4 linked regions of the Elephas maximus indicus genome follow. The protein of the gene in region 1 purifies or fractionates together with the protein of each later gene. This does not show direct contact. Links are inferred from orthologs where the notes say so. Each region holds a gene or a part of one and is shown in the gene's direction. Other genes may lie near its edges.

Region 1 (7,211 bases):
GATAATGTTGTACTTCAGTATAGATCCTGAAATATTCTTTTTGATGGTGAACGTGACACCATTCCTCTTCTACTTCTCATTCCAGGCATATAGACCATACGATTGTCTTATTCAAAATGGCCAGTACCAGTCTATTTCAGCTCACTAATGCCTAAGATATTGATCTTTATGCTTCTATTTCATTTTTGACAATTTCCAATATTCCTAGGTTCATACATCATACATTGCACATTCTGATTATTAATCAATGTTTGTAGCTGTTTCTTTTCATTTTGATTTGTGCCACATCAGCCAATGAAGGTTCTGAAAGCTTGACTCCCTCCACGTCATTAAGGTCGACTTTACTTTGGCAAGTGTGCTCTTCCCCAGTTGTATTTTGAGTGCCTTCTAACTTGAGGGGCTCATCTTCTACCACTATATCAGACAAGGTTCCACTGCTATTCATAAGGTTTTTACTGGTCAACTTTTTCAGAAGTAAACTGAGAGGTCTTTCTTCCAGTATGTCTTAGTCTAGAAGCTCTGCTGAAACCTATTCAGCAAGGGTGACCCTACTGATATTTGAAATACCAGTGGTAAAGTTCCTTGTATCGCAGCAACACGTAAGCCACCACGGTATGACAAACTGCAGACGTGTGGTGGACTTAACCATTAATATTTTATTTATATACTAATTCTTATTTTAGTTTATTTATTAATTTTATATTCAGAAGTAAATGCTTGCTTCAATAATAGCAAACTTCCTACGAAACTCCTCTTGCCCAAATGAAGACTGGAGTTACTGATCTGTATTCCAGAGCACTTTTATGAGCTACCAAATAGGCCACGTAACATTCTTGGAAAACACTAAGGATAAGCTGCCAGTTTTTCTAGGTAGACAGAAAAGCTAACAAGGCTATCCTCAAATTCCTTTCTTTCACTGTAAGAGCTGTATTCTGGAGTTTTTTAAGTGAATAGGTCTTTTGAATTTTAGTGCTAATTTGGAGTTTCTCAGCTCCTTACTCCATCATTATTCCAAGATGTGGTATTATCATTGGTGTATTTTACGCTTCTTACCCTCACCTTCTATTCCTACAGTATTTTCAGGATCCCTAACCTGGGATCATAACAAATTATGGATAACATTCTGAAGAATGGTAATTCCAGAACACTTAATCGTGCCTATGTGAAACCTGTACATAGACCGAGAGGCAGTCCTTTGAACAGAACAAGGGATAATACATGTTCTAAAATCAAGAAAGGTGTAGGTTAGGGTTGTATCCTTTTACCATACTTACTCAATGTGTACACTGAGCAAATAATCTGAGAAGCTTGGAGGAAGATTGGAGGAAGACTCATTAACAATGTGCAATATGCAGATGGCACAACCTTGCTTGCTGAAAATGAAGAGGACGTGAAGCACTAACTGATGAAGATCAAAGAACACAGCCTTCAGTAAGGATTACACCTCAACATGAAGAAAACAATAATCCTCACAGCTGCACTAATGAGCAACATCATGATAAATGGAGAAAATATTGAAGTTGTTAAGGGCTTCATTTTACTTTGATCCACAATCAATGCACATGAAAGCAGCAGTCACAAAATCAAGTGACGTATTGCATTGGGCAAATCTGCCGCAGAAGACCTCTAAAGATGTCCTTTGATGACTAAGGTGTGCCTGACCCAAGCCAGGGTATTTTTAATCACTTTATATGCCTGTGAAAGCTGGACAATGAATAAGGAAGACTGAAGAAGATTTGATGCTTTTGAATTACAGTGTTGGTGAAAAATATTGAATATATCATGGACTGCCAGGAGAACAAACGCATCTGTCTTGGAAAGAGTAAGGCCAGGATGCTCCTCAGAAGCAACGATGGCAAGACTTTGTCTCAAATACTTTGGACATGTTCTCAGGAGGGACCAGTCCCTGGAGAAGGACATGATGCTTGGTAGAGGGTCAGCAAAAAAGAGGGAGACCTTAATGAGATGGATTGACACAGTGACTGCAGTAATGGGCTCAAAGATAGCAATGACTGTGAGGACTGTAGGACTGAGCAGTGTTTCCTTCTGTTGTACATAAGGGTTGCTAAGATTGGGAACTGCCTCTGATGGCACCTGCCAATAACAACAACCTGGGCTAGAGGAGTCCTGGTGGTGCAGTGGTTAAGCACTTGGCTGCTGCTAAATGACAGATCAGAGGCGACTCACCAGCCTCCTCCGTGGGACAAAGATTTGGCAGTCAGCTTCTGGAAAAATTCACAGCCTTGGAAACCCTATGCGGCAGTTCTACTTGCTATGAGTTGAAATTGGACTGGACAGCAATGCGTTTGGTTTCCATTTTGAACCTGGGAGCCCTGGTTGTGCAGGGGTTAAGAGCTTGCCTGCTAACCAGAAGGTCGGCATTTCCAATCTACCAGCTGCTCCTTGGAAACTCTGTAGGGCAGTTCTACTCTGTCCCACAGGGTCACTGTGAGTCTGAATCGACTTGACAGCAACCGATTTGGTTTATTTTGGTTATATTTCTATGCTGGGACTTGTGGTTCAGGAAATTCAGTCTTATAGGTAGATTGTTTCCTAATCGGATTTTGGTCTATTTTAGTTTCCAATATGATAGCTACAATGTAGTCTACCGGAAAGGGTATCATGCTGAGAGTAAACAACGCTAAATTGTTCACTGCTGTATCCCCAGCATCTAGAACAATGCCTGACCCAGAACAGGTGCATAATATTTGTTGAATAAATCCTAATCCTGCTTTTGGGTGAAATTAAACATCAGTTAGTTCTTTGGCAACTCAGTCAAGACAATCCCTAAATTTCCCTTCGATGGTAGTATTTTATGACTTCTCTTATTTTACTTGTAAACGCTCTAAAAAAAACCAGTTGCATGAAAACAATGGGGTGTTTAGAAAAACATCAGTTGGTGGCGGTAGCAAATAGATGAGCTTATATTAGTATTTGTTACGTATCTCCTTTTTGAGTATGAGTAGTCAAACAAGGCAAATTTAGTGTTTCATTATGATTTTTTTTTTTTTTTGATGGCCTCAAGAGGTGGTTCAAATAAGCATGTCGTTCTCTTCACTGTTAATACGTGCAGTGTCTAGAACCATGACTGGCTTATAGGTATTCAATAAATATTAGAAGGGTGGTGAGACTTGTCTCACATACTTTGTACATGTTATCAGGAGCGACCAGTCCCCTGGAGAAGGACATCACGCTTGCTAAGGTAGAGGGTCAGTGAAAAAGAGGAAGACACTCAAGAAGATGGATTGATATAATGGCTGTAACAATGGGCTCAAGCATAATGACTGTGAGAATGGAGCAGGACCAGCCAGTGTTTCGTACATAGGGTCGCTGTGAGTCGGAACTGACTCTTTGGCACCTAAAAAAAATACTGGTTGAAATGGTTGCTATTATTTACATTTCTTTTGAACCCCATAAGTAGATACGTCTTTAGAAAAAGAGGGAGCAGGAAGCAGAAATCCCTTAAAAGGTCAGGACCAGTAACAAGGCCGAACTGAGCTCAAGAGGAATACTGGGCAGCTTAAAGCACTGAGAGAAAAGAGGACCCAAAATAAGCGTAAGGAGGTTAAAAACAAAAAGCCAGGCAGGAGAGGAAAGACGTTTGGCCGGACGTTTGGGTGTTGGCAGGAAGCCACTGCAATGACCGCAGGCCAACCCTGGGCACTAGGCGGTCATCTCCGGCTGCGATCTGGGGAAACTACGTCCAAAGTCCTTGGCTACACAGATCCAACTTTAAAAAGGTTCTGTTCAGTTGTCAGACGCCCAATTCTTCCAGAGTTCCTTGGAAAGAGAAACCACATGCACCTAACACAAGAACTATCCCCCATTCCATTCAAATAACGCAGGCCAATAGGAAAATCTTCCGTGCTGAGCAAACGACTCCGCAGAGCCAAGACAGCCTCGGAGGCAGGTCTGCCCCGCAATGCTGTGCAGGCCAACTGTTGGCCTTCGGGACCCTGGGAGCCTTTAGTGGGGCAGGGAAACCTTCCTTTCCTCCTTCTTCCCTCTCAGGTTGGTCCCAGCCCCCGCGGCCCGAGCCACACCCGCTTCCCTCCGGTGGCCGGGCCGCCCCCGTCGCAGTTCGCGGGAGCTTTCTTCCTGGGGCGGGCACAGACCCAGGGCGCATGCGCACGGGCCGAAGGGCGCCTCCCTGCCCGGATCTCGCGAAGTTACGTTACAGTGGCCGCCGGTGACGGGTGGCCAGGCCGGGGGCGGGAGGGCTTCTGTGGTAGGAAGGGAGGTCCGCTCGCCCGGGCGCGCCGCCCCAGTGCTCTGTGGGATACTGGAAGTCTCGAGCGTTTCCTCCCGGTTCCCAGCCCTCCTCTGGCCAGCCCTCATAGAAACAGTCACACACCCCCTGCCTCCCCTCTCTTCCCTCTCCGCCTCCCCCTTCCCCCCTCGCGATAAGAAGACCCGGCGGCAGGAGAGGGGATGAAGATGGCGGACGCGAAGCAGAAGCGGAACGAGCAGCTGAAGCGCTGGATCGGCTCCGAGACGGACCTCGAGCCTCCTGTGGTGAAGCGTCAGAAGACCAAGGTGAAGTTCGACGATGGCGCCGTCTTCCTGGCTGCTTGCTCAAGCGGCGACACGGACGAGGTCCTCAAGCTGCTGCACCGCGGCGCCGACATCAATTACGCCAATGTGGACGGACTTACCGCTCTGCACCAGGTCTGTGCACCCCGCCGCGCGCTCTCCTGACCCTGAGGGTTTCCGCCGTTCTTTAGTCAGGGCCTCTCCTCCGCTCTGGGCCTCCTGAGGCTGGGGGCGGCGGGAGAGACTCCCTGCTGTGGGGTGAGGGGGCGGTTTCCCGCGAGGGAGGGAGGGAAAGAACTGGTGGAGGGAGGGCGCAGGGCTTGAGGCCCCCTTCAGAGCAGTTGGTATTAAAGTTGGGAATCGGCTGGTTGACGGGGCACAGGGGAAAAGGGACTGTGGTCTGCTTGGGGCCCTAAGGCCGTTTGTAGTCGTGTGTCTGGGATTTGGGGTCGAGACGAGAAGGGGTGTAATGGGTTGTGTCTGGGCCCCGCTGTCAGGGATTTATTTGGGGGACGGGGATGCTGAAGAGAACTACTTACAAGGAACATTAGGGACTCTCGGGCAGATGGACATCTTTGGCTTGTAGGTGGGCATTGGATTTGTTGTACTTTTTAGGACTTGATTACAAATGATGGTAATAATAGTAATCAAGAGCTCTAAGCCGAGTGCCCTGAGCGAACGATTTCCTGTTTTCTCTTTTATTACTCTTGGTTACTGGGGAGGAGAAAACGGGGTGTAATTAGCTGATCTGCACCGGCTGAAAGGGAGGGAATGGAAGTGAGCGTTCAAAAGTGCTTGTCCATCTCCAGACCGGAACGCTTATCTGAGGTCCAGTACTCGGTGTGAGTTTGCTGCAGTGTCACAGATCCTGGAGCCCCAGGTCCTGGGCTGTGCACTGGAGTTAGAAAGAGAAGAATAAACATGGGGCATTCTTTTCAAAGCCGGTTACCAAGATCTGGTTTTTCTTTTGGGAGTGGGAAAAAGGAAAACTGGTCACAAACTTTCCGCAAAATGGATGCTTTGTGCATGTTAAAGTTTTATAGTGGTCTGATTGGGATCTCTCAATGTTAGCCAAATAAGGAGAAACTATTGGCAATCCAGAGATAATGTTGCTTTGCCTTTAACAGGCCAAAAGCAACACGACCACGTAGAGTTCTGCATAAAAAGCAATTTTTAAATGATGGTAGTAGGTAACAAGACATAGCCTCTTAGAATTTTCCTAGTTGGCAACTTGTAATTACTAGAAAACGACTTAACAGCAATAGCTTCCTCTGACAATGAAGAGATTTGTGAAATCTTTCAAAGTTGCTTGGCTGTAAAGGGAAGATTGCAGCTTTATTTTGAGTAATACTGTAGCAAAAACTTGTTTGGGAGGTTGAAACTTAAAGGCTTTATATTTCATGCATATTAGCTTGCTGTCTTTTGAAAAGAGAGGTGTGTGGTAGCATTTTTCCTTTTACTGCTTCCTGTTGAAGTGAATGATGACTATTTTAAGTTTTATTTAGTTGAATTCTCATATCATAGTTGGCTTATAGCCTTTGTTTACAGAGTTGACTGGATGAATTGAAATGATGGATAAATTAACAGGAAAATCTTGACATCAGAATGTGGTACCCAGTAAGGATATAGCTTGGTCTTTAGCTTTTTCTCAGTTCCATTAATTTAGATTCTTTAAGGTATAGCAAACTTTCTTTAGCCTTGCTTGATTTTAAGGCACAGCATAACTCTAGATTTTAAAAACATGACATTTGAAAATGAAAGAAACTTGTGGCATTCAAATGATATTGTAATTATGTAAGATGAATCTTTTCAAATTTGTTTCAAGTGTAATTTTAAAAGATAAAGCTGTTATTTTATCCCTGAGGTCAGCGTGATTGGATAATTTCTTACATTAGTATGTCTTATTAAAATTGTCAAATAGAAATTTAAACTTCCTATTATTGTTGTAGAGACACCCAAATATATTGGCTTGAAGGAGGATGAGAATCTTTTATACATTAATCTAATACTGGTTTAGGTACTGAAAGAGAAAGCGCACTTAACAGGCTTTTCAGATTCTCTTGTTCCCCCCCCCCATTTGTACAATGTTGCAACAATTACCACACTAATTTCTTCCTGACTAATGAATTCAGTGGTTAGTTTGGCATTATATAGGTGGAGTATTATTGAGTATTTGTTTTAGTTGACAAGTACTTAAGTAGAAGTTTCCAAGTTTATACATAAACCATTTGCATAGTATCTTTTTGTAATTTATCTGCACATTCCTTAAGTCAGTGAAGCAAAAGTCTTTAAAATATGAAGCATTAAAATTTTTATTGCGTTCTCTCCACTTGGTATTTCTCATTTATCAACTCTTCTTATACTTTTTTTTTTGCATTGTGGCTGTGAGAACAAGGAGTTCACTTTGGGCAAATTCAGGACAGCAGATAATGAAAGGTGATAAATATAACTTTTTTAAAAAGAACCACACACACACACACACAAAACTAAGCTTTTAAGAAACCTCCTGAATGCTACTTGTTTTAATAACTTAAATTATAAACCTAAAAGGATCCATTGTTTTTTTTTTTTTTAGTAGACCTTGAATAATTTAACTTCTCAAAAGATCTAAGATACCTAAGATATTTTTACGAGATTAATTATTAGTTATTCATTTGGAATATTCATTTACTTTTTTG
Region 2 (7,066 bases), on another chromosome or scaffold:
TCTGGAGTGTGTTCATCACAGCCCCCACTTCCAATGCCCCTCTGCCTTAAGGATGGCCTAGGCAAAGGCTGCCATATCGAAACGTGACCTCTAACTGGGAGGAAGAGGGCAGTGGGACACTGAGGTAGCTGGTAGCCCAGCAGAGGCAGGCAGAGATATTGCCATTAGAGAGTGAGGCAGGTACAGGGCCTCATTGCTTTCAGCAACCAGTGTTTCTTTGGGGATGTTTTGCAACACACACCTTTGGAAGCTCCCCTGGCCTGCTGTGGAGGTGGCAGGCCTGCCTGACCTGTGGCTCTTCTGCATTGAGATGGTGCTGGTGAGGAGATGCTAAGCCTTGGGGCTCTTAGGATGAGGATCCTGTTGTTCCAGGTCAAGGTGGGAAGTGATGAGGATGCAGTGCATGATGGGGCTGCTCTGTACTAACTGCCCAGTACCTCAGTGAAGGACATGGTACATACTCAAGACCCATAGACACTTCAGTGCCGGGGGTGGGAGGCCACCCCAGGAGCTCAGCTGGTGGGCTCTGCCCCTTTCAGGCACCCAATTTTCCCTCCAGAAAGACTGAGGAATATGAATAGGACATTTCGGAAATGACAATTTCCTCTGCCTGGGTCATACCTAAAGAGATCTAGATGGGCCAGGGAGATGGTGTTCAGTGCCTCCATGATTGAATGGTGCTAGCTCCCCCTGCCATAGGACCTTATATCTAAATAGCTAAGTAACTTCTCAATACTTCCCAGTGAGGGAGCAGGGTGCAGACCTGAGACCCCACGGGCACTTCAGCAGTGCGGGCAGGAAGCCGCCCCAGAGTATAAAGCCTGGCCCAGGCCAGGATACCCTGGCTCCCTGCCAACAAAGCAAAACCAAAGGAATCCAGGGAACCCAGGGCTTAGGGGAGAACAGACTTCCTTACAAATCCCATGGCTGGTCAACCGCAACCTCATCCTCTCAAGGAGACAAATCTCTATGGGGTCATACCACAGGGGGATGGGAAGAGGGCCAGGAGATATAGGACAGAAAATGGATTGTTGGCTTCCCCAATCCAAAGGCTTCTCCTGAGCTCCAACCCCTGAGAGAGGAACAGCATACTTTTCCCCCTTAAGGCACACAGATCAGGGTAGAGGCAAAGTTCACTGACCCAATGCCTGGGACTGTTGGAGGCAGGGCTGAGGGCAGCAGAGGCCCAGCCCTGCAAGTGCTAAGGTACTCCCTGTCCCCAGCCCCAATCCTCCTGTAGTCATCCACAGGACTTGGCAGCAGGAGAACCCAATGTGGGAGCCAGGAGACTCCCTGTTGCCTTCTTTTATTCTCTGTGGGTTTTGAGAGGTTCATTTGCTGCAGTTTCCCTGAAAGTGATGGAGAGAGAGAAGAGAGGGGTTATTTCATGGGCAGCAGAGCAGTCCCTGGGATTGGCTCATCCCAGACCCTTCTTGGGAGCTGAGCTGGGCTCAGTAATGCCATACTACGATCCAGACCTCTCTGCTGAGCTTTAGATTCCTAGTGCCTCACAGGCCCCACAGTCCACACTGGGCTCAACACCTTCCCCCTGCAGACCTGTTCTTCCTCCTGGGTCCCCACCTTATGGTGCCACCATCCTTCCCCAGTTGCACAAGACAGAAACCTGGGCAGTGGCAGGCTTCCTAACTAGCCTATTGCCTTCACTCTTGGACTGCTTCATCTTGCCATGACACAGGCAGTTATAAGGCAAATTAGATCAGGCCCCACCTCCTGGAGTCCTTCAATAGTTTCCTGGACCTTAGGATAAGGGCCCTACAGGTCCCTCCTCTCCATATGCTCATTCATTTCTAAGCTCCTATGTATTATAGGGGCCACCATTATATTTTGGAAACAAATAACCTGTATTCTAGGTTTCATCTGTCCACAGATGGAGAGGAATTTTATCCCAGGTTGGAAAACACCCAGAGTGTCACTCATACTTGATTTAGATGATTCAAAAGATGAGATTTTGGACTTAAGAGTGGACACTGGAATGGGTTAAGACTTTTGCGATGGGATGAACGTATTTTGCACATGGGAAGGAAATGGAACTTGGGGTAGACAGAGGATAGAGTGTTATGGATTAAATGTTTCCCCCAAAAAGTTATGTTGAAGTCCTAATCCCTGTTATCTGTAAATATGACCTTGTTTGGGGAAATAGTTTCTCTTTTCTTATCAACTAGGTCAAATGAGATCAAACCAGAGTAGGGTGGGCCCTAGTCCTAATTTCTTTTGAGGGGTGTCTTATAAAAAGGGAGTATGTCATGTAGTGGGAATATAAATGCCATGTGACAATGAAAGCAGATGCATCAATAAGCAGCAAGGAAAAGCCAAAGATTGCTGGCAGCCACCAGAAACCAGGAGAGAGGCCTACATAAGGAATCAACCCCAATTTGGCTTAATTAGACTTTTAGTCTCCAGAACTGTGAGAAATTAATTACTGTTTTTTACGGCAGCTCCAGGGAACTAAGACAGAATTTGGTCTCAGCTCAGATTAGCTGAATGACTGCCTGATTAGTGAGTTCATGTTTCACACATCAGGAGGCTGGCCTTGATGAGGCCAGTCAGTGCTCTAAGGACAGAGACTCCTGGCTTCCCAAATGAGGGGCTTACATTGGAGAGGAATGCAACAGACCTGTCACTTCATCTCTCTGAAATTGTTCCCTCATCTGTAAAATGGTGATAATGTCCCTACCACCCACTCCACAGGTTGCTGGACAGCATGCTTAGAGAAGCTGTCCAGGTATCAGTGTCACCCCCAGCTTGAAGCCTGAGTTCTGGCTGTACACCTTGGAGCTTGCTGCAAAGGCCACTAAAACTGGTGGACTCCCACCCCGAGAGCCCCCTCCCACCACCTCCGGCACAGGAACGTCCTCTGCCTGCCAAGCATGGGGCTGGGGTGGGGACAGATACTCACCAGGAAGGAAAATGCGTGGAGCCATCAGGTGTGGATCCGTTCTGGCCGCCCAGACCTGGGGGCAGGAATACAGCCAGAGCTGCAGCAGGCTGTGGGGTGGGGCTCTGGGCAGGCATCAGCCCAGGTTAGGTTAGGAACCAGTTATATTGTTTGGTGAAGAGTCAGGTGGGGGTCCTAAGGGATAAGCGGTATTGTCTGGTGGGAATTCGGGGAACGTTACAATGCGATGGGTGGGCTGGTGGGGATTCTGGCGTGAAATGATATGGTGGCATTAAACAGTATGGGTTCAGCGTCAAATTCTGATAAGACTCTCGGAGAACCAGCGGTAGTCTAGGGAGATCCTGGGGAGCCGTACAGTCCGCTGGGGGCGGGCGGCCCGCGGAGGTTGATGGGGAACCTCACCTGGGCGGTGATACAGCCCGGTCACCGTGTTCCCGTAGAACCCCCACGCCAGCTGGATGCCCAGGAGACTTAACACCAACCACAGCAGCAGCAGCTTGAAGAGAGTCACGCGCATGTCCTGCGCCTCCCACTCCCGCAGGAACTCGCTGCCCAGGGCGCCCAGTGCGCCCAGCACCGTAGCCGGCAGAGCCTGCAAGGACTGCCCGGACCAAGGCTCCGCCATGACTGGCCTGCGCCCCACCCCAGGGACTGTCACTGTAGTCCCCACCGCGCAGGCGTCTAGTTTTCCGGGGCCAGGCCGGTTAGTGCGCACGCGTGAGCCCAGGCGGGGAAGGCCTACCGCGGTTGCGCGAAGAGTTGGCAGTTCGGGGAGGAGTATTTACGACGCGCACGCGCACCTAGACCCACCCGGCTTAAAGGATGAGTGACTCGAGGGGTATAAAATAGCAACCAGGTCTTTTATAGCCCCAGAGTTCCCGTGATGCCCCGTGCGGCTGCAATGATTGGTTAAGCGCCTTGCTCTGAGGGCGTGGACACGCTCCTGAGCAATCGTGGCTGAATTGTGAGTGCGCGCGCGTGCGCGGGGCCGCGACTGTGGCCGGCTCGAGCCCGCCGGGCGCCCGGGGGCGCGCACGTCGCTCCCCGCCCTCCCGCCACCGCCCGCCCTCGCTCGCTCGAGCTCCCCGCCCGCCGCCCGCCGTCCTTCCTCGGTTCTCTCGTTAGTCAGCCGCCGCCTCCTCAGCGACCAGCCAGCGCCTCCGAGCTCGCGACTCGCGGAGCGGCGTCCTCGCCACGAAGAGGCCGGACTCGGAGTCGCCGCCAAAGGTGAGCGGGAGGGTTCACTCCCAGCGCCGCGGCGCCTCTGGTCCGCCCGCTCGGCACTGTTCCGGTCGCCCGCCTGCCGCCCCTCCGCAGCCGCGCCCCACCTGCTGCTTCCAGCCGGTCGCCCCCGGTGTCCGGTCCACGGTCCCCGGCCCATGGCTTCCGGCTCTCGGTCCCGGCCCCGCGCCCCGAGGCGACGCCCCGCCCGCTCAGGCCCCGGAAGCGCGCCCCGCCGCCGCCCGCGCCCCTTCCCCCGCCCGGTCGGGCCTGGTAGATAGAGCCCAAGCTGCCTGCTCGTCCGCCGCCCCTCCCCAGCGCTTCCTCTCACTGCCGCGCCGGTTCCCCGCCCAGCAGTCGCGGCGGCCGCGCCGGGTAGGGCGGGGGCTCCGGATCCGGCCCCGCGACCGCGCGGTACTGCCGGCCTTTGCGACTCGCGCGTGGCTGTAGGAGTTGAAATGGGAAAGTTACTCTTTACAACTCCATTTTGCTTTTTTACATTCAGTGTAATATATGAATGTTTTATGCTGTTTGAATTCAGTGTTTGGGGTACATTTCCTTTTTTAATGTAGTGTTTTTGGAGATTGTGTTGTAATCTTAGGGATCAGGGCTATTTGTATTGTAAAATAAGAAAAAGTGAGGACGTTTTCCGCTTGAAAAGAGCATTTTTTATGATCTATGTTCCACCAAAATAGAGTATTAATTTGCAATTTTAATTAGTCCTTTTTATTATTTTGATTAGGAAGCATCTAAACATTTGTCCCTAGTTACTGATTGGATCCACAGTTACAGGTAGTCTTCATTAAATAGCATTATTTGCGCACAAATCGATTTGATCAAAAACCATGTCTAGTAGTTTATGGCGGAAAAATGACATATTTTTTGCCTCAGAGTTGAGGAAGAAGGTAAAAAATGACACTTTTTTTTTGATAGTTTTGATTTAAGAATTTTACCTGTTTGTGATCTGGTCGGTTCTTTTTTTCTTTACCCTTTTGAAGTAAATTTTTTCTTGCAGGCGTGTAATCAATTATATTCTTCTCTGCCAAAAATGAGGGAAAAAAATACTTCTGTATTAAAAGCTTTTTTTAAATATTGTATGTGGTGAGAATTTTTGAGCCACTTTTAGTTTTGTTTTGAGTTTTAGTGTCCCCCACACAAATGTGTAGTCTGGACATGTACATGATTGTCACCTTACCTGTACCCGTTGCCCTTGGGTCGATTGTGACTATAGGACCGAATAGAACTGCCCCATAGGGTTTGCAAGGAGCACCTGGTGAATTCAAACTGCTGACCTTTTGGTTAGCAGCTGTAGCTCTTAACCATTATGCCACCAGGGTTTCCATTAGACATGACTGAATTGGTGGTCATATTATTTTGAGGGCTTGGCACAAGTGACGTTGTTTGCACTGAAAATACAAGACTTTTTCTGAATTGTAAAAGATGACTTATTGAGGTTATCTTCTGATAAATTGTATTAAGGATAGTTCCTATCTACTGTGGTAGATCACTGATGGCTCTTGGGAATGTAACAAAAAATATGATATGGAACTTGCGCTTTGAGTCAGATTTTAGTCCTAGAGACTTATGATCTCTGTTCTCATAAGAGATCTGTGCTGGAGGGAGAAGAGAGTAGGAATATAGCTATCAACTGACTTCATAGAACCAGAATTTTAGACCTGGAAGGAATTTTCAGGACTTGTAATCCAACCCTTTCCCCTCCCTTTTGCAGATGAGGAAACTGAGTCCCAGAGACTTAAGTAAATTTACCAAGCTCACGTATCTTGTTGGGGGAGCAGATTAGAATTTTTTTTTGTAAGGTATTCTCCACGCACTCCCGAGTATCAGGCCTAGAGTCAGCTAAAATCCAGGGCTTCCAACTTAGTCCAGTGTTTTCCACTTTTACACCTTGCTGGTTGCCTTTGGAAACCCTAGTGGCATAGTGGTTAAGAGCTGACCGCTGACCAAAAAGCTGGCAGTTCGAATCCACCACGCGCTCCTTGGAAACCTTATGGGACAGTTCTACTCTGTCCTGTAGGGTCAGTATGACTCGGAATCAACTTGAAAGCAATGGGTTTTTTTTTTGGTTTAGGAGAGTCTAAAAAAATTTGTCAAACAAATTACAGTTCTTTGGCTTTCACAACACTCTCCTCTGTATCTGGGTGGTCCTGTAGCAGTTAAATGATGCAGATAAATGAATGTGCAGGGTGAGTGGCTGGCCTAGTCCTGGCTTTGGGTATTTGGGTCTTCTTGATGAACCAACTTTTTCCAGAGGGGAGTCCAGACTTCCTTTCTCCAAATCCATCATAGTTCAGCCTAAAATGTTATCAGGTAACTGTGGGCCTTTTTGAGTATTGATTTGGAGTGGGTTTGGGAGAAACTGCTCATATCAAGTAAACAGTGCATGTGCATGTGTGAGAGTGGTTTTGTTGTTGGAGTTTTTTCATAGTCCTGATTCTTTGTCAGTTAACTCTTTTAAAAGTTTGTCCTGGTCATGTGGGGAAACCCTGGTGGCTTAGTGGTTAGGAGCTACAGCTGCTAACCAAGAGATCAGTAGTTTGAATCCACCAGACACTCCTTGGGAACTCTATGGGGCAGTTCTCCCCTGTCCTAGAGAGTCCCTATGAGTTGGAGGCGACTCCTGACGGCAGCGGGTTTGGTTTTGGTCATATGGTGGTGTAAGTTATTAGGGGAGTAAAACAGGCAGATCTTCAGGTGTTTCCTGTCCATGGGGTGGGGTCCGACCAAGCAGTGACAGCGGGAGCTGAGGTGCTACTTAGGGTCTTCTTAGTTGTCCTAGAGCGGAGAGATTTGTGTTAACTCTGCCAGGAGACAGGCTGGTATTTCAGCTTTTAAGAGGTTTTTTTAATTTGGGTTTGATGAGCTTTTGTAGATAGCAGCTTGAGTTTAAGCATTACGGCTGCTAGTGAT
Region 3 (8,008 bases), on another chromosome or scaffold:
AGACGCTCTCTGGGTACTGATGTTACAGGATATTTCGTGAATCAACATTTCTTTATGATTTAGGTGTCATGGAAAATTAAGAGCAATGCCGTGATTATGTAAAATGTTTACCTTAGGGGAAACTGGGTGAAGAGGTTATGGGCAGGCACTGTACTAGCTTTGAATTTTTCTGCAAATCTAAACTAAAAAGCTTATTTAAAAAAATGAGATCAGATCATGTTATTCTTCTGCCCCAAACCTTGCAGTGACTTCTCATTACGTTTAGAATAAAATCCAGATGCCTTCCCACGGCCTACCAGGCCCCGAATGATCTGGCCCCTGCCCACTCTCCAACTTCCCCTCCTAGTACTCTCTCCTTCACTCTACATTCTAGCCTCTCTGGCCTTCTTTCCATTTCTTCAACACAGGAAGTTTGTTCCTGCCCCAGGATCTTTGCACTTGGTGTTCCCTTTGCCAGGAAAGCTCTTCCCTATATAGTTCTTCCCACGCCTTCCTCTTTCTCATTCTTCAAGTCTTGACTCAAATGTCACCTTCTCAGAGTCCCTCTCCTATGTGGCCACATGATCCCTTTAACTCTGTCATAGCATACCACTCTGAAACTGTCTTCTTTGATTGGTTCATCTGTTTCTGTCTGTCTCCTCCACTAGGATGGGAGCTCCATGAGGGCAGAGACTACATCTGACTTGCTCACTTCTATGTCCCCAGCTTCTCACTACGGTGCCAGACACATAGTAAGGCCTTAATAAACGGTGGTCAAAAGAGTATCTGCTGGCAACACAGTAGGACATTGAAATAAAGCTTCGCTTCACAAAAGCTATGGACTTAGTCAAGGGGATTCATCCATATTTTGTTTCCTGTGGTTCCCCACTTGGTACAGAGCCTTCCGGATAACCAGATAGGTCCAGACGTGCTGGCGAACCTCATCGTCAGCACTTCTTTCAATCATTTAATGATAATCCTTAGTGCTCACCAAATTGGGGGGGAATGGAAGGAAAAGAGTTCACCCCAATCTTCTAGATGGGAATTCAAATTTTCGCCCAGGGACCCAATGTAGCCCACAGACATGCTTTGTCTGCTGCAGACTGTGTCTTAGAAGAATTTGAATTCTTGACCAAATTTTAAAGATTGAAACATTTTACATAAAAATCCAAATTCTCCTGAAAAATCTGAGGATCTGGCCACACTGGGCCCATGTTCCCATTTGGCTCCAACAAACTGGAGCTGGGAAGTGGCCACCCCTTTAGATGGGATGTGGGTTCCCCAGTTCACTGCAGTCTCTACCCAGCCAGCTAGATCCCCCTCAAAGCCTAAGGATGGCTTACAGATATAATTGGTTTTCAAATCTCTTATTTTAAATTACTTCAAATGTTACACGAAAGCTCAATGTATTAAACAGATAACAGTGATAATGTTGTTCGGGTTCGTTGTGAGTAGCCATGGAGTCAGCTCCAACTCAAGGCAACCCCACGGACAACAGAAGGAAACATCGCTCAGTCCTGTGCCATCTTCACAATTGTTGGTATGCTCCAGTCCATTGTTGTGGCCACTGTGTGTTCTGAGTGCCTTCTAACCTCGGACGGCTCATCCTGCAGCATTATATCAGACAGTATTCTATTGTGATCCGTAGGGTTTCATCAGCTAATTTTCAGAAGCAGATTGTCAGGTCTTTTCTCCTAGTCTGTCTTAGTCTGGAATTTCCTTGAAACCTGTCCACCCTGTGTAGCCCTGCTGGTATTTGAAATGCAGGTGGCATAGCTTCCAGCATCGTAGCAACTCACAAGCCACCAAAGTACAACAAACTGACAGATGCGTGGTAGTAATAGTAATAATAAAGCCCATTGCCGTCAAGTCGACTCAGACTCATAGTGACCCTGTAGGACAGAGTAGAAGCACCTTATAGGGTTTCCAAGGCTGTAACCTCTATAGAGGAAACCCTGGTGGTATAGTGGTTAAGTGCTATAGCTGCTAACCAAAGAGTCCACAGTTCAAATCTACCAGGTGCTCCTTGGAAACTCTATGAGGCAGTTCTACTCTGTCCTATAGGGTCACTATGAGTTGGAATTGACTTGACTGCAATGGGTTTCATTTTTGTTTCTTTTTTTTAATCTTTATGGAAGCAGACTGCCACATCTTTCTGCTGTAGAGCGGCTGGCTAGTGGGTTCAAACTGTCAACCTTTTTGGTTAGCAGCCGCTGCTTAACAACTGCACTACCAGACCTCCTTTAATAGTAATAATAAACAAAAAAAATCAAACCCATTTCCAACTCATTAGCGAATCTATGAGTCATCGCTATGGTTCCAACTCATAGCGACCCTATAGCACAGAATAGAACTGCCACATAGGGTTTCCAAGGAGCGGCAGCTGGTGAGTTCAAACTTCTGATCTTTTGCTTAGCAGCCAAGTTCTCAACCACTGCGCCGCCAGGGTTCCAATAGTAGTGATAGTTAATATCAATTTAGCAGTTACTGTGTGCTGTGGCTCTGCTTTGGTTGACTTGAGAGGGCCAGGGACTAGAATCCTGTCAGCTCCCCATTTTCCTCAGCAGGAAGTTCATTTGAAAGAAATAAATTTTAATCTACTCTCCTCATTTTGCAGATAAGCAAACAGGCCTGGAAAGAGGAAGGGACACTCCATCCATTAGGCAATAGACTTTCTGGCAAATTCTTGCATCAGCAAGGGGGTGTGATGGGGTGGGAGGTGGAGGGTCGGGATGGGGGAAGAGTTCATCCCATTATCCACTAGGATTGATCTTGGTAGCAAAGACCAACAGGGAATCAGTTCTTTCCTCCATGAACTGCGGTTCCCAGGAGCTGCTCAGACCTTCCCCTTGAGCTCAGGCCACTCTCAGGCTTGGAGCCAGCTAATTCCCTCAGGCATGTGCCAGCGAAACTGGGCTCTGGAGGGAGTTGCCCACGCGGAGAATGGCGTGTGGATAGAGGCCCTCCCAGCGTCCCAGCCCAGTCTGAAGTTCTCCTACAACCACGTGATGTCGACAGAGACTAACACACCTGCCACTTTGCATATGGAAACTTCCAGCAGTCTTCTTGTGGCTCAATGCATCTTTATATCATTCCATTGGGTTCTCTATCTGTGAAGGGGCTGCTGTGTGCCAGAATCGTGCTAGGTGCTCGGGATTCACTGAATATGAACAAGGGCTTTGGTTTCAGGATGTCCCACCCTGACTCCGTAACTTACTAGCTGTGTGACCTTCAGCAACTGACCTAGTCCTCTGTGCCTTACTTCATCTGTAAAATGCGGATGATAGGAATGGTACACAATTCCTAGAACTGGCTTGGGGATTCAATGAGATGTTTTGGCACGTACTAAAAAACATGAGCGCAGTGTTTGTGCTTTTCCCCACTGCACTTATCAGAAGCTGGTATTTTTATTTGCGTCTCTGTTTATTGTCTGTCTGGCTAACTAGATGATGTTCCATGAGAGAGGGACCTTGTCTGTCTTGCTCACCCTTGCTTCTCGGCCCAGAACAATGCCTGGCACAGAGTAGGTGCTCCATAAATATTTGGCTGCCCAATGAATTGCCGTCTTTCAGATTCCTGCGCTCATTGCCATTGCGATGACGCGCCTTGCCCTGGAGCAGCCCAAGGTCTCGTGGACTCCGGCGTGAGCCACCCAGCCCTCACCAACCAGCTGTTCACAGCAGTGCTGGGCACCGACTTCGAATGTCACCAGTTGGGCTCAGTGCCCTGGACTGACAAGGGACACTAGTATGACTTGCGGCGGACACAGTCACAGCACGGGAGAATGAGCTGGCGATTCCGGACAGCCAGGAGAGCCCCACACTCCAACCCCCCGGCGACAGTAGTGGGTGGGGGGGCGCCCAGGTGCATGAAGCCAGGGCCCCCAGGAGCGCACCGCTTCCGAAGATGGCTGCCCAGGTGGCGCCATCACCGCGAGGGCATTTGGGGATGGGAATTCCTGCATCCTGCGTCCCTTGAGAAATCAAATTAATTTCTCGGAGGAGGGGAAGGGCTTTCCAAACTGTAAAGCGTTGCAGGGAAAAAGAGATGTGCGGAAAGGTCAGGAAAGAGAATGTTTGCTGAGTGTGGGCTGCACTTCAAAATCCAACTAAAAGCCATGCGCAGCCCCCGGAGGTGCCACCATCTCTAGCCCCCACGGAGAGGGATGCACCTTGGAGCTGTTGGGAAGCGGGAGGGGAGTGGCCCGAAGTTTCACTGGGGATCTGTAGAACCCGGCCCCAGCCCGCACTGCCGGCCTCTGCAAACTTCTCTTCCGGCCTCAGCTCCGACGCGCGAAATCTGCAAACTCTCCCTTTATCTCCTGTGCACGCGCTCTTTCAACTTCGCTCTGGCTAGAATCAGGGTAGCCGTTCCGATGATTATGTAATTGCCGAGTGCAGGAAAGATAATCTAAAGACAGGGATGATGGATTTTTTTGTGTGTGTGTGTGTAGATTTTTAAACATCTTTTTTTTTTAATGTAAGTGTCACAAAAGTGCGCAGAGAAATAATATACAACACCCATATTTCCCACCGCTTAGAATGAATAATTGTTAACATTTTCTGAAGGCAAAATAAATCAACATACATCTCTTTATTATCCTCCCTCTCCACCCCCATCCCCACACCAGATTTATTTTAAAGCATAAATTCCAGAACCGCATAAAATCCGTTGCTGGACATCCACGTGGCCAAGTCTACAAACACGTGGCCCCAACGAACACAACCCTGCGGAAGCCGCAAAGCTCGGAGCGCACACGTGTGTTCCGCGCCCCCTCTCCTCGCAACCCCAACTCCCGCGTGCAACTTTGCAACTCACGCTCGGGCCGGGGGGCCTATTTGGTCGACCCGTTTGGCGGAAGGATCTGCGTGAGGGCCCAGTCACTCTCAACGGTCTCCTCCCCCTTCCCGCGCTCTGGCCACGCCCCCTTCCGCGCCCGGGCCCGCCCCCTCCCGCGCGCCCTATGGCCCATAAAGAAGTCCCGGTCGGGCCGCTGCACTCCCCCGCGCGCATCCGTGCGCCGCCCGAGGTTGGCTGAGGAGTCGGCGGCCATTTTGTTCTTCTCGTGGTTCCAGTGGGGAGAGAAGGAGGAAGCAGGGAGCGGGGCGGCTGGGGGGACCCGCCGCGGCTGCTGCCACCGCCGCCACCACTGCCTCTGTGCTCGTGGCGTGGGGAAGGAGTGCGAGTCCCGGGCGCGAGCCGGCGGCGGCGCCGCTGCGGGAGGGTCGGCGGTGGGAAGGCGATGGCGGATATAGACAAACTCAACATCGACAGCATCATCCAACGGCTACTGGAAGGTGAGAGGGACGGCGGGCGGCTGAGGGGAGGCGAGCGCTGGGGCTGTGGGCAGCCAGGGGCGCTCGCGGGAGGAGAGTTGGGGGGCCGGTTGGGCTTGCAGCACTGGGGGAGCGAACCCGCGAGTTGGCCGGCGGGCCGGGGGCTGCAGCTGGAGGGAGGCCGGGCCGGGATCCCGAACTTGGCTCAACCCGCGGCCCCGCTCATTCATTGCACGAGGTTGCAGTCTTTTTCTTGGCCTGAAATTTGAAAACTTCGCATCGCACCCCCACGTTTCCCGCCCCTGCCCCTTGAGCCCCGCAAAGTGGACCAGTCTTTGCAGGAGAGAAGGTCGGGGGCTCCAATCCAACCTGCAGGACGGCGGGTTCCGGACTTTAATCCGGCCAGGATCGAGTTTCTGGTACTTTTCTTCTCAAAAAGCAATTTGATGGGGTTGGGTTCCACCAGCTTTGGGGGCTTTTTCCTATCTTGCTTTATTTTTATCAGTTCCCCTGCTCCTCAAGTGTTTTAAGTTGTTCTTATGCTGAAGAGATCTCCGCGCTCTTTTCCTGAGCAGGAAAGCAGCGAGGGTGACAGTATCGTTAACATCTTTTCAAACGTGCCAGGTTTTAAGCGCTGTGTTAAGTGCTTTGCGTCCATCAAATTACAATAATAGCGCACACTTCTAAAGCGCTTACTATACGTCAGGCATTCTATGAGCACTTTACACAGATTTCACTTAATTGTCCCCACAACCCTGCCAGGTGGGTGCTATTTTTTTAATTTTTTCCCCCGTTTTACAGAAGAAACTAAGGCACAGAGAAGTGAAGTCACTTCTTCAAGGTCACACAGCTAGTAAGTGACAGGCTTCAAAGCCAGGATCCAGAACTCGCTACATTCAGCTGTCACCCTATAGATGACCCTGTGTGCAAAGGAAAACGGAAGGTGATGTCCCATGAATAAACTAAGGTTAAAACAAAACTTTAATTTAACCTAAGGTTTGAGGTGCGTGGTAATGACTCCTATTGATAGGGAGAGGGATGAGGTTCAGATTTTAAAGGGAAAGCTGAAATTGCTCTGCCACCTTCGGGTTCGGAAGCATGTCCAGTAATACAAATATCTCATCCCAGACTTGGGAAGAATTCAGCCACATAATTTCCTTTTTTGATCTGGGCACAGGGTATTGTTGTCAGTTTGGCTGAGTTGTAACTGCTTTTTGCTTGATACTGCTGTCCTCAAATAGGGTTGAATTTGCATGCACAGAGTGCATGCTAGAGCACGAACAACTGGGCAAAGTGGGTTTTGCAGATCTTTTGAAGTCATTAAAATGAAATGCCTGAGAAAATCTTTTCCTATTCTTAATCAGTGCCTTTCATTTTTCTTCTGTTCTACAGTATTTTGTAGCTTTCTTAAAAGAAAACTCATTTCACGACCCCTGAAATGCTCTTGAAATGTCACCACCATTTGTGGGTGAAAACCTTGTCATTCATTCAGTGCTTATAAGAACCAGAGACTAAAAGATCAAATACTTTTCATGTTATTTAGTACAGTTCTTTGATTGATATGAAGCAGTAGTTGGTCGTTTTGGCAGTGAAAAACGAACGTTTTGTTAAATATTTTTATTTCAGTTTTTAAAATTAACTTCTGCACATCTGTGCAGGGGTGTATGGCTATATTAGAATGGCTTTATGGTGGCACAGTGGTTAAATGATTGACTGCTAACCAAAAGGTAGCTACTAACCAAAAGGTCGGCAGTTCGAATCTACCAGCCACTCCTTGGAAATCCTATGGGACAGTTCCGCTCTGTCCTGTAGGGTCGCTGTGAGTCGGAATATACTACTCTCTGGCAGTGGTTTTTTTGGGGGGGGGGGTATTTCTCAGAGAAAAACCGAAAAAATTAGAATCCACATGGATTAGAATTTTAAGATAATTTAAATCTTGAAGTTCTGGTTTGCCTGTAACACTATTCACCTAACAGATTTTGGTAATTTTAATCTTAAAAAGGAAGAAAATTGTGCTAAGAAATTTACCTTCATAAAATGGGCCCATCTAAAATGAGATCAGTCATCGTTTCTTAATTCCTAGGTTTTTTCCAATGAAAACGAAGAAAACAGAACATTTTAATGCCTGAGGAATAGGCTAGCTGCCCAGTATTCTTAGATTTCTTTCTTGTGGGTGTTAAGATGGTAGAGAAACTGCGCAAGATAATTCATCGAGGATACGCATACATCCCAGTTGGGAGACGTTGATAATAAATTTGGTAGTGTTTGTAATACATATTTCAAAAGCCTTTTTCCCTAAAACTTTTAGTTAATATTTCAGTATATGTGAAAATGAGTTTTGTGGCCTTGTGAGACTTCTTTACATGTTCAGAATTATCTGATATTTAAGGTCCAGGACTGTGCAGCTTAGCTTAGAAGTAACAAAGGGGAACTCAAAAGTGAAGTCCTGTTTAAGAAAACTTGGTGTTGATTTATACCTTGGTCCTTACGGCTTTGCCGTTGTCTGACTGTGAACTTGGAGTAGTTTTTCCTGAAGCTGGGCATCACTTTTGCAACCCACCTGGGAAGGTAGAAGCTTTTATCTGAGCTCTGCCTTGCTGATGACAAAACCTTGAAGTGGTTGTTCCTTAGTATAAATGATGCTCACTTTTTACAGAACTACGTAGTAAAAGCGTGCATGGGGAAATTAGAGACAAAAGCAATCAGCTGTTGATTTGGTGTGATAGTCTATGTGTTAGAGAAAAGACCGAGTT
Region 4 (7,776 bases), on another chromosome or scaffold:
AAACCCTGTAAAGGCAATTCACAGATCCTGTAGTGCTTTCCACTGTTTTTCAAACTGGAGGTCAGGACTCAGTGAGTCATGAAATCAATTTAGTGGGCCTGGATTAGCTTTTTTTTTTTTTAATTGAAAGAAGCAGAAAATACCAAAGTGCATCATGTTTAGTAAGCATCTAGGCCCTCTTCCTTGGTGAGCTCATCCAGTCTCATGCCTCTAAATGTCATTTACAATTCTCAAATCTGTATCTGTAGCTCAGGCCTCCTAAACTCCACTCATTTAGACATCTCAATTTCCACATATCTAAACGTAAACTCCTGATCTTCCTTCCCAAAACAGCTCCATCTGCAGCCTTTCTAGGTGATGGCAATTTTATTCTTCCACGTTTGACCCTTTAGGCTAAAGTCCCTAGAGTTATTTTTTTATTTCTCTCATTCTCTAACACATCACGTCCCATCTGTCAGGCAGAATGCCCACCTTTCATATGGGAGAACAGGGTTCAATTGCAGGCCAATGCAACCACCACCTGTCTGTGGAGGATTGTATGTTGTTATGATGATGAACAGGTTTCAGCAGAGATTCCAGACTAAGACAGACTAGAAAGAAAGGTCTGGTGATCTACTTCCAAAAATCGCTAATGAAAACCCTGTGGATCACAACAGTCCAATCTGTAACCAAGGCTACCACCCTGGTCCAAGCTACTATCTCATCTCTTACCTGGACTGATGCAGTACCTACCCAACAGGTCTCTCTGCTTCTCTCCTTCCCCCCTAGTTTATCCTCAACACAGCAGTAAGCGTAATCCTTTAAAACAGGGGTCAGTAAGTTTTTCTTAGAGGGCCAGACAGTAAATACCCTGGCCTTACAGGCCAAGAGGCAAAATCAAAGACATTATGTAGCTACAGGAGAGAAAACAAATTTCCACAATTTTTTGTTGACAAAATTAAAAACATAATAATAATTGTGTACAATGTTTTGTAATGCAGGTCTACTCATGAGAAAAAAATTTTTAATGATAACATTTTACTTAATTGGGGTTCAAGGTCAGTGTTCTCCATCATTAAATTGGTTGCAAATGTTTATGTGTAGAAACTATTCTTAGTTGGGCGATACAAAAACAGGCCAAAACCAAAAAAATCAAACCCACTGCTGTTGAGTTGATTCCGACTCATAGTGACCCTACAGGACAGAGCAGAACTGCCCCATAGAGTTTCCAAGGAGTGCCTGGCGGATCTGAACCGCCAATCTTTTGGTTAGCAGCTGTAGCACTTAACCACTGTGCCACCAGGTTCTCCCCCCCCCCAAAAAAAAGGCAGTGGGCTGGATTTAGCCTGCAGGCTGTAGGTTGCAGCCCCGTTTTAAAAAACAATCATATCACTCTTCTCTCAAAACTCTGTGCATTTGCTTTCTATTGCTTCATACAAATTGCCAAACTCAGCAGCTTGAAACAAAGCTCGTTTATTACCTCACAGGTCTATAGGTCAGAATCAAAGAAGGCTGAGCTGAATTCTCTACTTAGGGACTTACAAGGCTGAAGTCAAGGTGGGCTCTTATCTGGGAGATCAGGGGAAGAATCCAATTCCAAGCTCATTCAGACTAGTGGCAGAATCCAATTCCTTGTGGTTGTAGGTCTGAGGTCCCCAGTTCATTGCTGGCTGTCAGCCAAGGGCCACTCTGAGCTTCTGGAAGATGTTGGCGTTCCTTGCCATGCGGCCCCCTCCATCTTCAAAGCTAGCAATAGCACACTGAATCCTGCCATGCTTTGAATCTCTCTGACTTCCCCTTCTGTTAACAGTTGGGAAAAATGCTCTGCATTGAAAAGTTTCACCTGATTGGGGCAGGCATCCTCAGATAAGCTCCATATCTCAAGGTCAACTGACTTGGGACTTTAATTACATCTGCAAAATCCCTTCATTGCAGTCCCTAGATTAGTGTCAGATTGAATAACCAGGGGACAGGAATCTTGGGGGGCCATCTTTAGAATTCTGCCTACTACACCCCGCAAAAGCTTCCTACTCAGAGTAAAAAGACAAGGCCCTTACCAGGGTCTACATGATCCGTGCCATCTGCTCTCCCCCAATCCCCATGCCTGCCCCATTATATCTCTAGCCTTGTTTCCTACTACTCTCCCTCTGGCTTACTCTGTTCATCCACATTAGCCTCCCTGCTGTTCCCTCAACATGCCAGACACATTCCCAGCGTAGGGTCTTAGCTCTAGTCTCTGCCTGAGATGCTCTTCTCTTAGCTTGTTGACTCCTTTACCTCCAATCTTTGCTCAGGTTTCACTTTTTCAATAAGGCATACCCTGACCACCCTACTTAATACTACCACCTGCACTCTTGCTCCTGGCACTGCCTATTTCTCCTACCCTGTTCCACTTTTTTTTTCTTTCCCTTACTGTACCTATCACTTTTAATATATTACATACTTCGTGATGTTTATTGTCTCTCCCTCCTTGATAGAATTAAGCTCCACAACTGTTGACTATTCTGTTCGCTAATTATTCCAAGTATCTAGCACTGTACCTGGCATAACGTAGATGATTAATAGGTATTTACTGAATGAATGAAGTTTCAGGAAATTCCTATTTCTGTTTTCTACATATGTGTGTAGTAGATTGTGGTGTAAAATGTATTTCTTACTGAAGGTGCAGTCAAGAGAGTTTGAAAACTGCTGGAGTTAAACTATATGACCTATAAGGTCCTTTCCAAATTTGAGCACTTAACAAAATTTCACATGCAGCTAGTAAATCTCCACCATATCCTTTGGGAGATGGCAACGTTCACAACCTAGTGACTATAGCAAGGCACCGAGTTACTGAAATACAACACTGACACAGAGAAAGCTAAATAGTCATCCTTACCTGTTCTGTACGGTTGCTATGAGTTGGCATCGACTCGACAGCAACGGGTTTGGTTTGGGTTTTTTTTTTTTTTTTTGGTTCTATGATTGTGGGTTAGAAAAGACTGGAAACAGGAAGAATTGTTGAATGCCCCCAAAACACAAAAATCTGAAATTAAACTTTCCACAAAAAGAGATATTACTTCAGAGCAAACAAAAGAGAGCAAGTTCCAGATCACTTCTAGTCACTTACTGAAAAAGCGAAGAGCAGTGAAGGAAGACATCACTCAAAGTCCCTGCTGTAGAAATTGTGTCCCGAATGGACGTCGGGAGCAAAGCCCACTTCCTGAGTATATATGCTTTCCACTCATCCACAGGCAGATCCATGCTACTTTAGATCTGTAAAATGAGTAATAAGGAATCAGATTTCTATAAATGCACAATGCCAGACAATTAAGATTTTATTCAAGCAAAGTTAACGCAAAAAAAAAAAAGCAATTCTTTGGGTCTTTTCTATATTTGTTTATATGGATGTTTTGTTGTCTCGTGGGGCAGTGGTTAAGAGCTCAACTGCTAACCAAAAGGTTGGCAGTTTGAATCTACCAGCCGCTCCTTGGAAACCCCATTGGGCAGTTCTACTCCGTCCTGTATGGTTGCTCTGAGTCAGAATCGACTTGAAGGCAGCAGGTTTTTGTTGTCTTATAACAAATGTCTGAGGAAAGATCTATATCTTCTCACACCAACTCACTCAATAGTAACTGAAAGCCTACTACATTCCTGGTACCACGTTAGGTGATTGCTAATCCATGATGAATCAGAGTAGATAGCTACCATCACTGTCCTCTTGGAAGCTCTACCTACTTAAGTTGCTCAAGTCAGAAGTCTGGGAGCCACCAGATTTTTCTTTTTTACTCATCCCGGCAACTATTCAGTTAACAAAGATTTCTCTCCTACGGTTCAGTTTTCTCCTTCAACTCCCAGGCCATTCTTTCAGTACAGGCCTCAAGATCCCTTGCCTGACATCCTTTCCAGCATCATAACTAGTCTCCTTGCCCTCAGTTCCCCCGACTTTGAGAAAGATGTCAGTCCTCTGCCTTAAATGCATCAATGCTCTTCCTAGTACACAGGGAAGACCAGTACCAACTCTTCATTATTTGACCCTTGGCTTCCTTTCTAATTCTCAAGTGCACTTCCTTCTCTGTACTCTACCATACTGAAATACTCATAAGCTACCTCTTGTCCCCCAGTTTGCGAGGCTATTTCATCTCTCCAAAATTTTTGCAGAGTCTATTCATTCGGCCAGGTTCACCCTACTCTCACTGGGTGTTCACCTGGTAAACTCCCATACATCCTTCCAGGTTGTATTCATACGGCACCTCCTCCTGGAAGCCTTCCCTTGATCTTCCATCTATGATTGCAGTATACTTTGTGTCTGTCCGGTGCATACCTACTTTTAGTTTGGGCTACTCACGGTCGGTGGCTACTCCCCCGACAGACTGTGCTCTCCTCTGAGGGCAGGAGCTGGGTCTTATTTACCTTCAGAGGCCCCCACAGTGCCAAGCTCAAGGCCTGGCACCGGCAGGCGTTCGCACTGGGCTGGCCAAGGAACAAAGTCACTGCTTTGCCTATATTTAGCAGCAGAGTTCCCAGGGAACAGCTCTAGCTCTCCTCCGGGCTGCCAGTCTGTCTCCCCCTAAAGACAGCGCTGGGTACGCTCCCAAGAGCCCGTTCGGGAAGCTCCCGGAACTGGGCCCCTGGCGCCCTTAGCTGTTTCCGCGCAACTCTTGGCACGTCCTGCGGCTCGGCGCTCCGCCCCCACGCCCCATCGTCCCGCGACAAGACCCCGCACGCCCTTGGGCGGGTCACGTGGGCCGTCCACCTCGTCTCGGCCAGTCCGGTTGCTGCTTGGCCCCTGGGCCCGCCCCGGCGCCGCACGCACGTCGGGAGGTGGCGTGGCGCGCGCAACTCCTTGGGCCAATCGTTTTGGAGAGCGCGAGACGCCGGGGAGCGGAGTGGGGGCTGCGGAGGAGCCGGAGCGCCGGAGTTAACGCGGGGGAGCCATGGTCGGCCATCTGAGCGAGGGGGCCATTGCGGTGAGCGGCCGCCTGGCAGCCGGGCGAGCGGGACGGGGAGCTGTGGGCCCTGGAGGCAGGGAGTTTGGAGATGTGCGGAGTGGAGGAGCGGAGGGGATCTAGGGGCGGTGGGGAGAGGACTCGAGGGGAGTAGATGGCGGAGGGGAACCGCCGAGGTGTCTTTCTTGTAGGGTCCATCACTCATTCGTCGAAGGATTTTACCATCGTCTTTTAAACATGGTCACGTGTTTCGTATCTAAGAAAACAAAATAAACACCTGACTCCCCGATTTCCCTGCGCCTGCCACTGTCTCCTCCCTTTTCCCCATCTCAGCCAAACTTCTGCAAAGTTGTTTTCAGCTATTTCATTGCTTCACCTCGCATTAACTCGTTAACATGCTCCAATCGATCATCCCCCGATCGCTATAGAAATATCTCTGGCTTAAGTTACTGGTGGTCTCCACGTCGTTAAATCCAACAGATACTTTTCAGTTTTCAACTTACCTGAGTTCTCAGCAGCGTTCTCAGTCTGTCGAGCATCGCTTTCTTGTGGTTACACTCTCTTCTTTTGGCTCCTGTGGGGCAGCTTGGTTGATCTTTGTAAATTTTGTTGACTCGAGGCTCTCTTCTAGGCCATCCTCTCCCAAGGCAACCTCATAACCATCTATGTATGGCAATCATTCACACATTTCGTTGTCCCGAGCTGCCTTTATGCTGAAAACAAGCCTGTTTACCGGATATCTCAAAGGCATCTCAAATTCAACATGCCAAAAGCAAACCCGTTATCTTCCTTAGTCTGGGTCTGTCAGGGTTCTTTATTTTGGTGAATGGCACCATTGTCGGTTAAATTATGCTAGCCAGAGATTGAGAAATCATTCTTGTGACGTCCTCCATCATCCTGTATGTCCGTTTACTTCACCAAGTCCTGTATATCTTACCTCCACATGTGTTTCTTAAATTCGTTTATTTCTCTCCATACACAGTGTCATGTGTTGCCTGGATTACTCACTCCCTACTCAATACCCTCTTCCCTTCACTCCTGTCATCCCAGATTTTCACTGCTCTCTCCCCAGCCTCATGGTCTTTTTTAAGTTCCTGGTATATTCCATACTCTTGCCTTCCGCGGGACCTTCGAACATGCTTTTCCCTCTGCCTGTTGCCTGAGTGGTTCGTCACTCTCCATCTCTCTAGCTAACGTTATCTTCAAATCCCAGCTCAGCTGGGACTTCCTGAGGGAAGCCTTGTTTGACCAAATTTTGGGAACGTACTGCTTCTTCACTTACCACCTGTGTAACTTTGGGCAGGATACTAAATGTTTCTCTGCCTCCTTCCTCCTCTTAAAGTGAAGGTGATGATACCGAGTGCCTATTCCATACGTGGGAGGATTTAATGAGTTATTCCATTTAAAGTGCTTAACCCAGTGCCTGATACATAGTAAATGCTCAATACATGTGTCCTATTTTATTTATTTTGTTGTTGAGAGTATACACAACAAAACATACACCAGTTCAACAGTTTCTACATATACTATTTAGTGATGTTGATTGCATCCTTCGAGTTGTGCAACCATTCTCATCCTCCTTTTCTGATGTTACCAATTTTTTATAACCACTGATTTAATTTTACATTTGTAGGTTTATTTAATTAAGAGCAGTTACTTTTTGACTCTCCCACTGGATTGTAAATTCCATGAGGCCACTAATTATGTTTGCTTTTTTGCTCAGCATAGATAGAATTGCCAGCACTGCTTTAGCTACTGGGGATACTGTGCCCGATGTTCACTAATCACATGAATGCATTAACCAAAACCAAACCTGTTGCCGTCTAGTCAATTTAGACTCGTAGTGACCCTGTAAGACAGAATAGGTTTCACAGTGTGGCTGGCAGATTCAAACCGTCATCTTTTGGTTAGCAGCCAAGCTCTTAACCACTGTGCCACCAGGGCTCCCTCAATGCATGAGGCAGTGAAAACAAAGGGATACTGATGGATGGGGAAGAAAGGGAGCTTAGGGGAAAGCAGGAGGGGGAAGAAGGGTAGGTGGAGGCCTGTAAATACTTGCTAAAATTTGGGGATGCAGAAATGCTGAGACCTGAAAAGTGATTGCAGACTGTAGTCCTCATTCTGTCCTATAGGGTCGCAGTGAGTCGGAATTGACTTGACAGCACAGGGTCATTGGGTTAGTCCTCATTCTGACTCAACAGCACTGGGTCACTGGGTTAGTCCTCATTCACTTTGTAGTTGCTACCTTGCACCTTAAAGAAAATTATGAATGGTTCTTCACTTTTAAAAGGAATGATCATGAGATAATTTAAATTTGCTGAGTGATTTTTCCCTGTATTCAAAATTTTAGAAACATATTTCCAGTGTTGGGTAAAGTGTTACTTGAGTTTTACTCAAATGAAGGAAAAAAAAAAAGACGTTTGCATGTGTGTATGTGTCTATCCTGGCAGCGTGTGGCGTGAACTTTTGTGAACTTTGATTATGAGCTAAAACAAGTAGTATCATTTAAGTGCAAAAGACACAGGCCCAAAGGGGAAAGAAAAGAGCACACGAATAGTAGAGGCTTTTTGAGCAAAATAAAAATAAAAGATTATGCGTGGAACTGTTGTGATAAATGGAATAAATGGCATTTCTATCTTAAGTACTTGGGTTATAGAAAGAAAGGGGAAGGAACTAATATTTCTGCTTTCCAGTGTGCCAGACACTTTGCAGATAACAATCAGTACTTATATTAACCCTGTAAGGTGGGTTTTTATCATTACCCCCATTTTACAGATGAAGAAATGAAAAGTGCAGAGACATTGAATCATTTGTCTATAGAGCAGGGACCCAAATTCATGTGCCCTTGACTATCACATTCTGTTGGCAT

Evidence for each region.
Region 2: the proteins of PPP1R12A (region 1) and RHOA fractionate together in Homo sapiens (co-fractionation; 3 studies listed by BioGRID and IntAct, with this or other methods). This does not show direct contact. The link is inferred for Elephas maximus indicus from reciprocal best matches to the Homo sapiens genes PPP1R12A and RHOA.
Region 3: the proteins of PPP1R12A (region 1) and PPP1CC purify together in Homo sapiens (affinity purification with western blotting; 3 studies listed by BioGRID, with this or other methods). This does not show direct contact. The link is inferred for Elephas maximus indicus from reciprocal best matches to the Homo sapiens genes PPP1R12A and PPP1CC.
Region 4: the proteins of PPP1R12A (region 1) and RPA1 fractionate together in Homo sapiens (co-fractionation; 3 studies listed by BioGRID, with this or other methods). This does not show direct contact. The link is inferred for Elephas maximus indicus from reciprocal best matches to the Homo sapiens genes PPP1R12A and RPA1.

The regions. Positions count from the first base shown.
Region 1 is NC_064822.1:142,343,991-142,351,201, reverse strand, and holds the start of PPP1R12A (protein phosphatase 1 regulatory subunit 12A), read left to right. Parts: upstream 1-4,202; 5' UTR 4,203-4,431; coding exon 4,432-4,668; intron 4,669-7,211. UniProt on the Homo sapiens protein: Key regulator of protein phosphatase 1C (PPP1C). Mediates binding to myosin. As part of the PPP1C complex, involved in dephosphorylation of PLK1. Capable of inhibiting HIF1AN-dependent suppression of HIF1A activity.
Region 2 is NC_064838.1:53,868,127-53,875,192, reverse strand, and holds the start of RHOA (transforming protein RhoA), read left to right. Parts: upstream 1-4,054; 5' UTR 4,055-4,144; intron 4,145-7,066. Other genes in the region: TCTA (T-cell leukemia translocation-altered gene protein), read right to left, coding at 1,307-1,349, 2,918-2,972, 3,320-3,542. UniProt on the Homo sapiens protein: Small GTPase which cycles between an active GTP-bound and an inactive GDP-bound state.
Region 3 is NC_064840.1:9,270,900-9,278,907, reverse strand, and holds the start of PPP1CC (serine/threonine-protein phosphatase PP1-gamma catalytic subunit), read left to right. Parts: upstream 1-5,003; 5' UTR 5,004-5,221; coding exon 5,222-5,276; intron 5,277-8,008. UniProt on the Homo sapiens protein: Protein phosphatase that associates with over 200 regulatory proteins to form highly specific holoenzymes which dephosphorylate hundreds of biological targets.
Region 4 is NC_064837.1:19,912,381-19,920,156, reverse strand, and holds the start of RPA1 (replication protein A 70 kDa DNA-binding subunit), read left to right. Parts: upstream 1-4,769; 5' UTR 4,770-4,895; coding exon 4,896-4,928; intron 4,929-5,410; exon of another isoform or gene 5,411-5,722; intron 5,723-7,776. Other genes in the region: SMYD4 (SET and MYND domain-containing protein 4), read right to left, coding at 3,089-3,222. UniProt on the Homo sapiens protein: As part of the heterotrimeric replication protein A complex (RPA/RP-A), binds and stabilizes single-stranded DNA intermediates that form during DNA replication or upon DNA stress.